Linked DNA regions of Saccharomyces cerevisiae S288C. The protein of the gene in region 1 interacts with the protein of each later gene in a pairwise test. Each region holds a gene or a part of one and is shown in the gene's direction. Other genes may lie near its edges. The genes, in order: GIR2 and RBG1.

What was found.
Region 2: the proteins of GIR2 (region 1) and RBG1 interact in binary tests that used the Saccharomyces cerevisiae proteins (3 or more experiments, as listed by UniProt).

The regions. Positions count from the first base shown.
Region 1 is NC_001136.10:763,673-767,261, forward strand, and holds GIR2 (Gir2p), read left to right. Parts: upstream 1-2,033; coding exon 2,034-2,831; downstream 2,832-3,589. Other genes in the region: NUM1 (Num1p), read left to right, coding at 1-202; putative mRNA-binding protein CTH1, read right to left, coding at 506-1,483; ENT5 (Ent5p), read right to left, coding at 3,064-3,589. UniProt on the Saccharomyces cerevisiae protein: Acts as a negative regulator of the GCN2 kinase activity by disrupting the GCN1-GCN2 interaction in amino acid-starved cells.
Region 2 is NC_001133.9:74,220-77,927, reverse strand, and holds RBG1 (GTP-binding protein RBG1), read left to right. Parts: upstream 1-1,775; coding exon 1,776-2,885; downstream 2,886-3,708. Other genes in the region: FUN12 (translation initiation factor eIF5B), read right to left, coding at 1-1,501; YAL037W (uncharacterized protein), read right to left, coding at 3,105-3,708. UniProt on the Saccharomyces cerevisiae protein: Involved in ribosomal function.

The DNA.
Region 1 (3,589 bases):
TCAAAGGAACATGCAAGGGATAAGTTTAGAGGACATCGCTGATGATCCAACAGATAATATGTATTCAGGAAAGATTTTCCCATTGCCCGGCGAAAATACAAAGAGCTCCAGTAAAAGACTTAGCGCATCGAGAAGGTCCGTATCTACAAGGTCTCTAAGACATAGAGTACCACAAAGCCGATCATTTGGCAATTTACGATAGTTAAAAAAACTAAATAACTCTAAGTAAATTAAGAACAATAATAATCATTATTTCGATTTTTAGTCCTGTAAACACGTTTGCCACCGATGAGTAACACTGAAAGATCAGAGAAAGAAAAAAAAATTCTACCTAATGAAATAAATAAACTAAAAAGATTAAATTAACTAATTCTCATGTTAGTAGGTCACGAATTCTTTAATTTTGTTTTGTGACTGAAATAAATATGAAAACGATAATGAATAAATAAATAAGGAGAGGCAGCAGAAATACGCCAAATATTCAAAGGGCTTTGTTGTTGACCGACTACCAAGTCATCCTTTGCAATGCTTTAACACTAGTATGTAAGTTCCTAGGCTTACTCAAATTAGTGATATTATCGTTGTTGCTTGGGGCTAGGGAAGTAGGAAGTGGAGTCAACGCCGTATCCTTACTTCTTCCATCGTTAGCATTTTGATATATTTCAACGTCCTTATCATCACCGTGTTTGAAACAGCAACGCTTACCGTACGGACAGTAGCCTAACTTCGACCAATTTATGCAAGGTTTAGTTCTATAATTGTTTGATTTTTTCTTGAATTTCAGTTCATTAAGACCATGAGCAAATTGGCATTTATTTCCATACTTACAATAGCCTTTAATAGTAAAAGATTCACAGAGCTCAGTTTTGTATAAGGTCTTATTGACTAATTGAGGAAGCTGCAAAGGTGCCCTTCTACAAGGTTCCAGTTTTGTTGTTTTCTGAATTGGAAGTGTGTATGGAAGTCCAGTAGACTGAGAATCCACCTGAGATAGTTTTTGTAAATTCTCCGCTGTCAGGGGTAATGAAAATGCACTTGTCGTGTAAGTAGGGTTAATCTCAACTTCGAGTGACCTTTTCTTACGTTTTTTCTCAGTTGTAGCAAGTGTTGAGATGTTATTATTGCCTGCGAAAGGGTTATTAATAGGTAATGTATTTGTAGGTCTGGAATCTGATATGATCAAGTCTTTAAAATCTCCCAACGGATGATAACAGTTTGGTTTGGATGGTAACCAAGGAGAAGGCCTTGGTGAGTATTCACTTAAAATGTCCGTTTCATTTATATTATGCCCCTCGGAGCTGCTGCTGTCATCATTATCGGTATTTTCATTGAGCAGTGTCTTTATATAATATTCTTCGATTTCTTTAATCTTTGACTCGTACTCCTTGTTGAGATCAGAAAAGATCGAGGACGTAGTCGTTGAGGTCGAATTGGCATTCGGTATGTTTAAATAGTAGCTGTTTGGAGCAACATTCGGCATCATGGCTAGTGTTAATCCTTAATAGTTCTTATTGGTTGAGTTGCCGAAGAGACTGTGATATAGGGTTCTACGGCTTTACAATCAACTTATGGGTGAAGAGGCTAAATAAGATGTGACTTGTTAAGAGAGCAAGCGCAACAAGAGTGCAAAACCGTCACACTATGTCCAATGATCTACACTATCAACCTTTGAGTTAATGTTCTCTGATCCAGTATATTAGTAACTGCTCACACTGATCAAGAGCGTGAGAGAATACGAGCGAAAAAGAAAGAAGAAAAATTTGGGTGCCATTGGCACAGACCCTAAAAGAGATGTGAGAGAAGTGGGCCATATATGTATATTTTTCCCGAATGTCCTAATAAGTAATGATTGGAAATCCTAGGTCTATAAACTCGGGTAACAGAAGGTGGAAAATGAAAATTTTCTATTTTCCAATTGTAAAATCAGCAGGCATCGTTAGATTGGCTTTAAAGAGCTGAGTTTCCCATGCTGTCGGTTGGTATAATTTAAGGAAAAGCCCTCCCTCCATATCCAGAAGGCACTTGTTAATACTATGGATTATAAGGAAGAACAGAAGCAGGAACTAGAAGTTTTAGAGTCCATTTATCCTGATGAACTGAGGATCATAAACGATGAATACCCAAAGATTAAATTTGAAGTAGCCATTAAATTAGAGCTGGATACAGGTGATTCTACTTCTGTTTTAACCAAAGAGCACACTATAATCGCCGAATTCAAGTTACCAGAAAACTACCCTGACGAACCATGCCTGATTTCATTGGAAGCTCAAGAAGTAGCCCTCAATGACAACGAAGAAGATAACGAGGAAGATGAAGACGAGGTTGAATATGACGACCATGGTAATAAAGTACTGAAAAAGTTTGAAAACCTGCCAGATTTAATAAGCTTTAAGGGGTACTTGCCTGAATTAACCGTACAATTAGAATCGCAAATCGAAACCGATATGTTATTGGGTATGCAAATGTGTTTTGCATTGATTTCATCCATAAAAGAAAGATGTGAGCAATGGTATAGTGAACAATTGAATAAGCTCGAGAAGCAGTACGAGCTGGAAGCACAAGAACGTGAAAAGAAGGAACAGGCCAAGTTCCATGGTACTAAAGTCACAAGAGAATCGTACTTGGAATGGAGGTCTAAATTTCGCCAAGAACTGAAACTGGATGAAAGAGACCAGGTGAGAAGGATGAAGGCTCATCATGGGAAGCTAACCGGTAAGCAAATGTTTGAACAAGGCGTGGTGGGCACAGGCGACGAGTATATGGAAGAGGATGACGCGAGTGTAGATGACGTAGCCAAGGGACTTGCCAAGACCGAAATAGCAAATCAATAAATACTTGTGTACTTAAGTATTTAAGTATTTTCTTCTGCATGGATAATGACATATACAAATGTATCTATATAATATTTTTTTGATATTCAATAAAAAGAAAACTGACATTTGAAGAAGGAAATAGACAAGTTTTTAGTAAGATATTATTAGTGTATATATGGATACATATATCTGAGAATGAAAATTTGTTGACTGTATTGAATGTATTGGGAGATGAAGGGGTATTTGGTGATTAGACCAACGACTTGGAGTAAGAGAATAAGTCGGAAAATGCATCATTTCCCTTCGACTTGTCCTTTGTAGCCTGAGGACGGGCTTTTTGCTGTTTTTTCTCCGCAAAGGGCAATGATGTTTGCGCAGCAGCGGTGGTATCTGTGTCTGACTTTGGGCCATCCCAGTCAAGCAAATCATCTATTTTACTATTGGAAGTTTTAGGTGCTGTTGTGTCGGGACTCGTTTCGCTTTGGAAGTCGCCAAACTCATCATCATCATCATCACTATTGCTGTTGATATTATTGTTTTTGTTGTCATTATTACCATTGTCTATTGTTATATTATTCGTGGTGCTAGTACTATCGTCAAGATCGATTAAGTCAGGGATGCTATCTTGTTGTTGCTTTCTTTTCCTCTGCTGTTCTTTATTTTTGATCTGCTCTCTTAATATCTCCCTTCTTTGTCTTCTTTGTTCTTCCATATGAGAACGCCTGCGAGTATTCGAATTTGCTTCTGTTTCCACAGGAACATTGAAGTTGGTCACA
Region 2 (3,708 bases), on another chromosome or scaffold:
TAACCAAAATTGCGATGTTACACAATGAAGAACCTCTTGAACGTAAGTTAGAGAAGGATTCGTGACCTGGGGTATCAATAACCAAAAGACCTGGGACATCAAAAGTTTGTTTTTCATATTCAGCCATAACTTTAGTTTTTGCCTTAATAGCGTCGATGGGGAAATAAGTGGCACCAATCTGTTGGGTGATGCCACCAGCTTCACCACCTTGAACGTTGGTTTGTCTGATTTTGTCTAACAATTTAGTCTTACCGGTATCGACATGACCCAAAATACAACAAATTGGGGAACGAAGATCTTTTTTGTTTGGAGAAGCGCTGGATGGAGTTGGAGTAGCTGCTGGTGTAGCTGCTGGTGTGCTTTTGGCAACTTCATGCACATGTGCTCTTTCTTCTTCTTCTTCTTCTTCTTCTTCTCCTTCTTCTTCTTCTTCGCCTTGATTTTGGTCTTCATTTTCATGGCTTGCGGTGGATTCTTGCGTTTCTTCGTTGGTTCCCTCCTCGTCATCATCACCAAGAGCCAAATTTTCCCAATCATCAATCAAAACATCTTCGGATTCTTTGAGTTCGTCATCAGGTACAACTTCCGAGTCTTTCTTAGAGTCAGATTTAATGGCTTCGGAGGCGTTTTCCTGGGTTGTTCTCTTCTTCTTCTTGCTGTAAACAACCTTCTTTGGTTTGTTTTCTTCTCCATCCTTCTTGGCCAGACCGGCAACTTTGACGTTACCGGAAGACAATAAAGCGGCACGTCTTCTTTCCAATAATTTCTTTTCTTCTTTTTGCTTTCTGGTCAATAGCTTACCTTCAGCCTTTCGTTTTTCACGCTTTGCCTTCTCCTTTTCCTTTTTAGCTGCTTTAGCTTCTTCCTTCATTTTTTCTTCGTTGGCCAATCTTTCCTCCTCTTCTTTCTCCAATCTTTCTTCTTCCTCTCTTTCCAACTTTTCTTGTTCTTCAAGTTGTTTCTTCAATTCTAATTGACGTCTCAAAGCAGCCAAACCGGCAGGTACTTTCTTGGCTGGCTTCTTAGCACTAGCACTTGGTTTATCACTTTCACCTTTAGATTTTTGGGATTTCTCAGCAGCAGCCTTCTCAGCAGCAGCTTTTTCAACATTTTGCTTGTTCAACTCCTTGTTCTTCTCCTTTTGAGCTTGCTGTTGGGCCTTCTTCCTGGCAGCTTGTTCTTTCTTCTTCTGCTTCTCCTTTTCCTTTTTTTCCTTCTCCTTTTCCTTCTTGGACTTTAGTATAGGCTTACCATCCTTCTTCTCTTCAATAACCTTCTTTTCTTGCTTCTTCTTCGATTGCTTCAAAGTAGACATGAAGTCGCCTTCAATGGCCTCAGCACCTTCAGCACTTGCACTTGCTTCTCTGGAAGTGTCATCTGCACCTGCGCTGCTTTCTGGATTTGGAGTTGGCGTGGCACTGATTTCTTCGTTCTGGGCGGCGTCTTCTTCGAATTCCTCATCCCAGTAGTTCTGTTGGTTCTTTTTACTCTTTTTCGCCATCTTTCACTTATCTGATGTTCCTGATTGCCCTTCTTATCCCCTCAAAGTTCACCTTTGCCACTTATTCTAGTGCAAGATCTCTTGCTTTCAATGGGCTTAAAGCTTGAAAAATTTTTTCACATCACAAGCGACGAGGGCCCGTTTTTTTCATCGATGAGCTATAAGAGTTTTCCACTTTTAAGATGGGATATTACGGTGTGATGAGGGCGCAATGATAGGAAGTGTTTGAAGCTAGATGCAGTAGGTGCAAGCGTAGAGTTGTTGATTGAGCAAAATGTCTACTACAGTTGAAAAAATCAAAGCTATCGAAGATGAAATGGCCCGTACCCAAAAGAACAAGGCCACATCTTTCCATTTGGGTCAACTGAAGGCCAAGCTGGCCAAACTGAGAAGAGAATTGTTGACCAGTGCTTCATCCGGCAGCGGTGGTGGTGCTGGTATTGGTTTTGATGTGGCTAGAACTGGTGTGGCCAGTGTGGGGTTTGTCGGGTTCCCGTCGGTGGGGAAATCTACATTACTGTCCAAGTTGACTGGTACTGAGTCTGAAGCAGCTGAGTACGAGTTTACCACCCTGGTTACCGTCCCCGGTGTCATTCGTTATAAAGGTGCCAAGATCCAAATGTTGGATTTACCTGGTATTATCGATGGTGCTAAGGATGGTAGAGGTAGAGGTAAGCAAGTTATTGCCGTGGCAAGAACCTGTAACCTGTTATTTATCATCCTAGATGTGAACAAACCCTTGCATCATAAGCAAATCATTGAGAAGGAACTGGAAGGTGTGGGGATTCGTCTGAATAAAACTCCGCCAGATATCTTGATCAAAAAAAAAGAGAAAGGTGGTATTTCCATCACAAACACAGTCCCATTGACCCATCTGGGGAATGACGAAATCAGAGCCGTTATGAGCGAGTACAGAATAAATAGCGCTGAGATTGCCTTCAGGTGTGATGCCACTGTGGATGATTTGATTGATGTTTTGGAAGCTTCGTCAAGAAGATACATGCCTGCCATCTATGTGTTAAACAAGATTGATTCTCTGTCAATAGAGGAATTGGAATTACTTTACCGAATTCCTAATGCCGTGCCTATTTCGTCTGGTCAAGATTGGAACTTGGACGAGCTGTTGCAAGTCATGTGGGATAGACTAAATCTAGTCCGTATTTACACTAAACCAAAGGGCCAAATACCAGATTTTACCGACCCTGTGGTGCTAAGATCAGACCGTTGCAGTGTCAAGGATTTTTGTAACCAAATTCATAAATCTTTAGTGGACGACTTTAGAAATGCTCTGGTTTACGGTAGCAGTGTCAAACATCAACCTCAATACGTGGGGTTGAGTCACATTTTGGAAGACGAAGATGTTGTTACCATCTTGAAAAAGTGATTCTCGAACAAAAAATAATATAAGAAATGAAAAAAAAAAAAAATAATTCATAATTGAATATACAAGCATTTGTATTCGAAAAGGGGGTATCGGTTATTTTTTTTCGCTGTTTTTCTTCCACCGTTTGAGTATAGAGCATCTATAACATTTAATTATCTCTACATAATGAATAAAAAAAACAGTCGTAATAATTAAAAATGTTATGCTACCGAGGGCTCTTCAAAAGCGACCTCGCTTTGTGGTACCCATAAGCATTCTGTTATCGATCGTAGAGTTTTCTGGTAAATTGACACATCTCCTCTTGACTGAGCTCGTCTGCCTACGTTTTAGAATTTCCTGGGTTTGGCCAAACTCCCACAGTTCTTTATCATTCAGAATATCGAACTCATCGGATGTACTGATGGATATGTTCAGGGTTGCTTTCATATATTGCAAAGAATCCTGGATGGTCACTAGTGGATAGTAGGTCATCACCCTGGAAATAAGAAATTTGAGAAGTGCGCAATCATAGGAATGTGATGATATAACCAAGATATTTCCAAAATGACTAAATGACTTAAAGAGTGCCAACAGATCGTTGAATGCCTGGTACTGTACCAAGGGCTCACCACTGAGGACATTCGAATTACAAAACTGGGGCAGTGATTGGATTGTATCGGTTTGTGCCTGTGTTAAAGATGTTTTTATCTTTTTGCCCATCTGCAAGTACTGTCCAACGAATTTCTGTAGTAGTATTGTATTGTTTCGTATATACAAATCAATTGCGGCCTTCTTTGTTGCTACTGCTGCTGTAGTTGGTGAGCAAAGATTCACGACTACCGAA